Anolis sagrei: one gene and its partner. The protein of the gene in region 2 purifies or fractionates together with the protein of the main gene of each other region. This does not show direct contact. Links are inferred from orthologs where the notes say so. Each region holds a gene or a part of one and is shown on either strand. Other genes may lie near its edges.

The links. Proteins that work in one complex are often made in the same cells at the same time.
Region 1: the proteins of SIRT1 (region 2) and JUN purify together in Homo sapiens (affinity purification with mass spectrometry; 4 studies listed by BioGRID and IntAct, with this or other methods). This does not show direct contact. The link is inferred for Anolis sagrei from reciprocal best matches to the Homo sapiens genes SIRT1 and JUN.

The regions. Positions count from the first base shown.
Region 1 is NC_090024.1:169,479,443-169,483,193, forward strand, and holds the start of JUN (transcription factor Jun), read left to right. Parts: upstream 1-1,481; 5' UTR 1,482-2,410; coding exon 2,411-3,355; 3' UTR 3,356-3,751. UniProt on the Homo sapiens protein: Transcription factor that recognizes and binds to the AP-1 consensus motif 5'-TGA[GC]TCA-3'.
Region 2 is NC_090023.1:170,122,578-170,126,328, reverse strand, and holds the start of SIRT1 (NAD-dependent protein deacetylase sirtuin-1), read right to left. Parts: upstream 2,339-3,751; 5' UTR 2,300-2,338; coding exon 1,921-2,299; intron 1-1,920. UniProt on the Homo sapiens protein: NAD-dependent protein deacetylase that links transcriptional regulation directly to intracellular energetics and participates in the coordination of several separated cellular functions such as cell cycle, response to DNA damage, metabolism, apoptosis and autophagy.

The DNA of each region.
Region 1 (3,751 bases), on a different chromosome or scaffold from region 2:
ATCAAAGAGCATTCTGAACCCCACGAATGCTGGCAAACTTCCCACACAGAACTCCCATGAGCAGCAGAAGATACTTAAGGCCATCTAATCCAACTCCCTTCACCAGCGCAAGAAAACGTAATCAAAGCCCTCCTGACAAAGGGCCATCCAGCCATAGATATAGATATATATGATCCACACACAGAGAGAGATATAGATTTGAAAGCGATTCCACCAAAAAAGACAATTATATGTAGCATGTTCCACATTAGGCAAACCAGACAATCTCCACATCAACACTCACAAAGAAATAGCAAGAAATACTGTTTACCCACAAGCATAAAGACATTACATATATTAGAAACCAACACTTTCTCGTTACTTTATTTTCCAGATCACCAGACTGGGCCACAGCAACGTGTGGTAGGGGACGGCTTTTAGATATATAAAAGTCCCTTATATTATAAACAAGAATTCTAGAATATTATAATATAATAAATGGGATCCAAGTTTAAACAAGAATATAATATAATATATATGACCCAAATTTAAACAAGAATTCATATATATATGAATTCTTGTTTAAACTTGGATCCCATTTATTATATATTATATTCTTGAATTGTTATTTAAACTTGAGTCCCTTATATTTTATATTATATTCTTGAATTCTTGTTTAAACTTGGGTCCCAGATATTACATTACATTATGTTATATTCTTGAATTCTTGTTTAAACTTGAGTCCCTTATATGATATTATATTAATTATATTATTGAATTCTTGTTTAAACTTGGGTCCCTTATATTCCTGAATTCTTGTTTAAACTTAGGTTCCTTATATTGTATTCTTGAATTCTTCTTTAAACTTGAGTCCCTTATATTATATTTATTATATTCTTGAATTCTTCTTTAAACTTGGGTCCCTTATATTCTTGAATTCTTCTTTAAAGTTAAGCCCCTTATATTATATTAATTATATTCTTGAATTCTTGTTTAAACTTGGGTCCCAAACACACACGCACACACGATCCAAGTTTAAACAAGAATATATATGAAAAATAGGTGGCAAGGGGCAGTTCAAAATGGTCCCAGTCATTTTGTGAGTTTGTAAATCCATTTGCGGAATAATAGTCACTTGCCTCTCTTTGGAACACAAAGTGGATCCTTCCACCTCCCCCCCCCCCCACACCTCCGTTCACTACTTGGTATCTCCCTAGTTATGTTACAACACGCCCCCCTCCTCCTCCTGCCCTGGCGCGTGTGCGCATGCGCGCGCCTCCTCCCCCTCCGCCTCCTCCCTCCCTCCCTCCTTCCCTGCCAACCCCGCCGGAGCTCCTTAAGCGGGTAACCCGATATTCAAAAACAATACGTCATCCCACAATGCCCCGCTGCAAACGGCAGCCTAGGCATTACCTCATCCCACAATGCCCCGCGAGCGACGAAAGAAAGGGCGGGGCTCGTCGGCGGAGAAGCTTCTAGCCGGGTGGGGTGGCCATGGAGATGGGCGCCTTTGCTTTGCAAACGGGCACAGGCCGGCGGCAGGCCTGGCCCCGCCCCCTTCCCCTCCGCGAGGCGGCGGCGGCAGCCAATGGGAAGGCCGCGGGGTGACATCATGGGCTATTTTTAGAGAGTTACTGCTCGCTGATAAGTGTTGGGACTCCACGCTGAGAAAGAGCTCAGAGTTGAAGCAAGCGCGAGCGCAAGCGGCACGAGAGGGAGGAAGAGCCGGAGCATTCGCCGCCGCCGCCGCCACCGCCACACGGTTCCCCTCAGAAGGCGAAGAGGAGAAGGAGCCTGCCTCGCTTTTGGGACGCTCTGTGAGGGGAAGACGACGCCGAGCGGCCCTTCAGGGGGAAAGGCGGCCAAGGGAGAACCCTGAACTTCTTGGGGTGCCCTCCATTTTATATCAGCAGGGATTGAGAGGAGAGGACGCGTCGTGGCGCCTCATTCTTTCCCGACTGGACTCTGGGAACGAGACTTTTCCTCTCCTTCTCCCGTGTGCTTCCTAGAAAACTTCATTTCTCCCCCTGACAGCCGCTCCTGAGAAAGAAGGGAGGCTTCAACAAGTGTGTGTTTGAACAACTCGGCGCAGGACACTCCCACCAGGGACGGAGGGGGTGGGGAGCCTCCATACTTTGAGAAAAAGTAAGTTGTGCTGGACTTCCACTCTCTTTGCGCCTGGATTTCGTACTCTTGGAGATACCAGCCTCTCTTTACTCCCCAGAGGGAAGGGACTGACAAGCCAATGCCTTGTGGCGAAAAAGTAAGACTGTAATCATTGATTCTTCGAGTTCTCCCAGAATAATATTTTGTTGTTGTTGACTTATTTGGTGGCCAGCACTGACTCTGATAAACTTTTTTTTTCAAAAAGTGACTGAATTCGCTGCTTAGTTTCTCAACTGGAGGGGAGCAAACTTGTGGACTGTGTTCTATGACTGCAAAGATGGAACCTACATTTTACGACGATGCCATCAACGCGACCTTCGTCCAGCCTGAAAGTGGCACTTACGGATATAACAATCCCAAAGTCCTGAAGCAGAGCATGACGCTCAATCTGGCTGACCCGTCCAGCAACCTCAAGCCGCACCTGAGGAACAAGAACGCCGACCTGCTGACCTCTCCCGATGTGGGCCTCCTCAAGCTGGCTTCTCCTGAGCTTGAGAGGCTCATCATCCAGTCTGGCAACGGGCTGATCACCACCACTCCCACCCCGACCCAGTTCCTGTGTCCCAAAAATGTCACCGACGAACAAGAAGGTTTTGCGGAAGGCTTTGTCAGGGCTCTCGCAGAGCTGCACAATCAAAACACCATGCCAAGTGTTACCTCTGCTGCCCAGCCGGCCAACTCTGGCATGGCCCCAGTGTCTTCCATGGCTGGAAACAATGGCTTTGGTGCCAGCTTGCACAGCGAGCCTCCTGTCTACGCCAACCTCAGCAATTTCAACCCCAGCACCCTCAGCACGGCGCCTAACTACCCCGCCAGCAACCTGGGCTACCCTCCGCAACATCACCTGAACCCTCCCATGCCGGTGCAGCATCCCCGCCTCCAGGCTCTGAAAGAAGAGCCTCAGACTGTCCCAGAGATGCCTGGGGAGACTCCTCCCCTGTCACCGATTGACATGGAGTCCCAGGAGAGGATCAAGGCGGAGAGGAAGCGCATGAGAAACCGCATTGCCGCCTCCAAGTGCCGGAAAAGAAAGTTGGAGCGGATTGCCAGGTTAGAAGACAAAGTGAAAACTTTGAAAGCCCAGAACTCGGAACTTGCCTCCACAGCAAACATGCTGCGAGAGCAGGTTGCGCAGCTGAAACAGAAGGTCATGAATCACGTCAACAGTGGGTGCCAGCTCATGCTCACACAGCAGTTGCAAACTTTTTGAAAAGAGAGTGGGAAGCAAACTGCGTTGGGGTGAAAATTAAGCGAAAAGAAAGAGAGGTGGGAGTTGGGAAGCTCACCTGGGTTGTGGGGCAGGAAGACAAGCCGGAAAGGCATTGTTCCAGAGAGCGCTTCCACGACTCCCAACACCACTTCCAAAGCATGCATGGAGAGAAAGAGACTGGGTGCCTTTCTGTCTGAGGTGGTGGCATGTCAGTTGGAAGTACAGCTCTCCGAAGTGCTGTTTCTGCTCAGACAAGGCTACAGAAGCCTGGTGTTAGCTTTTTCTTTCTTTCTTTTTAACATTGACCAAGACCTGCATGGACCTAACATTCAATCATCATTCAGTATTAAAGGTTAAACTGCAGTAGATACTGTAGATTGCTTTCTCTTAGTACTC
Region 2 (3,751 bases):
CTGTGGAATGACCAGGGTGAGACAAAGGGCTTTTGTAAGTTGGGCTGGGTGTGAGTCTTTCCACTGACCACCTTGATTAGCATACAATGGGCTGACTGTGCCTGGAGCAAACTCTTCTTGAAAGGTGATTAGATGTCCCTGCCTGTTTTTCTCTCTGCTGTTTTTTGCTGTTGCAATTTTAGAATTTTTTAATACTGGTAGCCAGATTTTGTTCATTTTCATGGTTTCTTCCTTTCTGTTGAAATTGTCCACATGTTTGTGGATTTCAATGGCTTCTCTGTGTAGTCTGACATGGTGGTTGTGAGAGTGGTCGAGCATTTTTGCGTTCTCAAATAACATGAAAGCACTGCAGGCACTCCAGGGTGGGACAAAGAACTCTTGTCTGTTGGAACTAGGTGTGAATGTTTCAGCTTCATGCAGAATTTCATTCAGACGTGGGTGAAGAAAGCAGACGGGCGGCGCAGTGGGTTAAAGCGCTGAGCTGCTGAGCTTGTTGACCAAAAGATCGCAGGTTTGAATCCGGGGCACAGCGTGAGCTTCCGTTGTCAGCCCCAGCTTTTGCCAACAGTTCAAAACCTTGGAAGTGTCTATGGACAACACCGGCTCTTCGGCTTAGAAATGGAGATGAGCACCACACCCGAGTCGGACACGATTGGACTTCATGTCAGGGGAAACCTTTACCTTTTACTAATTAAATAAATAGATTGATACTTTGAATATAAATGATCTGCACCATACAAAGGGGGAAATGATGTAAGAGTTCACACACTTTGCATAATAGCTGAAAATTAAAGAAAGCAAATTAAATAATCTGTTGAACACAGTAGACTATCAGTTTAACACAGAATTCTTTTTAGTCTACATAGGGACCACCAAACGCAGCGCCCAGACACGCATCAAGGAACATGAAAGGCACTGCAGACTACTCCAACCAGAGAAATCAGCCATAGCAGAGCACCTGATGAACCAACCGGGACATGGCATTTTATTTGAGAACACAAAAATGCTGGACCACTCTCACAACCACCATGTCAGACTACACAGAGAAGCCACTGAAATCCACAAGCATGTGGACAATTTCAACAGAAAGGAAGAGACCATGAAAATGAACAAAATCTGGCTACCAGTATTAAAAAACTCTAAAATTATAACAGCAAAAAAGCAGAGAGGAAACAACCAGGCACATCTTAACACCTCTCAACAAAAGATTCCCCCAGGCACTGCAAAGCCCTCAAATGCTACTTAAGGTGGTCAGTACTCAAGGCTTTCATGGTGCTTCTTTTTTGACTTGGGTGATGGTTCGAGTTTTTATGTAGATATCTATCTCTGTGTGTGGGTTTTCTGTAAACGGTGTCACCCAATTGTTGATCTGGTTTACGGATGACTAGGACATCTAGAAAAGGAAGTCTTCCTTCCTTTTCTTTTTCCATAGTGAACTGGATGTTTGGGTGGATGCTGTTAAGATGGTCCAGGAACCTGTTGAGTTCTTCTTCTCCATGGCTCCAAATGGTGAAGGTGTTTGCTCCAGGCACATTCAGCCCATTGTATGCTAATCAGGTGGTCAGTTAAAAGATTCACACCTAGCCCAACTTACAAAAGCCCTTTGTGTCACCCTGGTCATTCCACAGATATATAAACCCCCTTTTTTCCCAGCTCCAGCAGACCTCACCTCTGAGGATGCTTGCCATAGATGCAGGCGAAACGTCAGGAGAAATGCCCCTAGAACATGGCCATATAGCCCGAAAAAACCCACAAGAACTGAGTGATTCCAGCCATGAAAGCCTTCGACAATACAGAAAATTCTGTGTTTTCTGGTGGTCTTTGGTGACCCCTCTGACACCCCCTCGCGACCCCTCCAGGAGTCCCGACCCCCAGGTTGAGAACCACTGTGCTAGAGAGGCCACCCCGCAGAAGACTCACCGGCCTCTCCTCCTCCTTGCTGGGCCTCTCCGTTGGCAGACTGCGCCGCCCCGCAGCCAATGGCCGGCCCCGACGCGGCCTCCTCTCCGGCGCGCGCCGCCCCCGCCTCCTCCCCTCCGCTCAGCCGCGGCGGTTGGCGCTCCTCCTCCTCCTCTTCTTCCCTTCGGCCCAGGCCCCACCGCCTCGGCCCGTTCTCGGGGAGGCTCCATCCCCTGTCGTCGCCTCCTGCGGCCTCCTTCCCGCCTGAGGGGGCCTCCTCCGCCGCGGCTCCTTCGGCGACGGCCTCCTCCTCAGCCGAGCCCCGTCGAAGGCGCTTCGGAGCCGGCTCGGGACTGAGGCCGCCGCGGGGCTGGAGGCGCGGCGCCTCCTCGTCCGCCATCTTGGAGCAGGAGCGGAGGCTCCCTCCTTTCTTCCCCCCTCCCTCTCTTCCTCTTCCCTCCTCCCCCTCCCCTTCTCCCAGCGGCTGTTGACGAAAGAAAGAGGCAGAGATGCCCTCCTCCTCTTCCCCCCTCCTCTTCCCCCCTCCCCTCGCGCGACACGTGACCTCGCCGACGCCCACACAAGGCCGGGCCGCCTCAGCAGAGGCGGCGGCGACGACAACAAACCGAGTCACGTGACCGAGAGCGAGCAAGGGGCAGGGTTGAAGTAAAGACGATGACGGGAGCGCGCCTGAGCTCGCGCCCGCGGGAGAAGGCGGCAGGAGAGGGGAGGGTGTGCTGAGGAGGCTGCCGTCACGTGACCCTTGCTAATTTATGATGATGGATATCTAGCAGGGTTTTTTTTGGCCTGAAAGCAGTTTACAACCATTGTAAATACACACACGCACAAGCACAGTTTTATCTATGCTTGCCATAGATGCAGGCGAAACGTCAGGAGAAAATGCCTCTAGAACAATGGTTCTCAACAATCCTAATGCCGTGACCCCTTAATGTTGTTGTTATTGTTGTTCATTCGTTCAGTCGTCTCCGACTCTTCGTGACCCCATGGACCAGCCCACGCCAGAGCTCCCTGTCGGCCGTCACCACCCCCAGCTCCTTCAAGGTCAGTTCAGTCACTTCAAGGATGCCATCCATCCATCTTGCCCTTGGTCGGCCCCTCTTCCTTTTGCCTTCCACTTTCCCCAGCATAACTGTCTTCTCTAGGCTTTCCTGTCTCCTCATGATGTGGCCAAAGTACTTCAACTTTGTCTCTAGTATCCTTCCCTCCAATGAGCAGTCGGGCTTTATTTCCTGGAGGATGGACTGGTTGGATCTTCTGGCAGCCCAAGGCACTCTCAGAACTTTCCTCCAGCACCACAGCTCAAAAGCATCTATCTTCCTTCGCTCAGCCTTCCCTAAGGTCCAGCTCTCACATCTGTAGGTTACTACAGGGAATACTATGGCTTTGACTAGGCGGATCTTTGTTGCCAGTCTGATGTCTCTACTATTTTATCGAGATTGGACACTACTCTCCTCCCAAAAAGTAAGGGTCTCCTGATTTCCTGGCTACAGTCTGCATCTGCAGTCATCTTGGCTCCTAGAAATACAAAGTCTGTCATGGCCTCCACATTTTCTCCCTCTGTTTCCCAGTTGTCAATCATTCTTGAAAGCAGTTAACAACCATTTTAAATACACACACACACAAGCACAGTTTTATCTATGTTGTCTGTCTATCTATTAAACGTGCATGCAGTGCTAAAGTTAGAACACCATCGAATAAGATTAAAACCAGGATAAAACAGCTCAATAAATGATTTATTCTATCTAGTCATAGAATCATAGAGTTAGAAGAGACCTCATGGGCCATCCAGTCCAACCCCCTGCCAAGAAGCAGGAATATTGCATTCAAATCA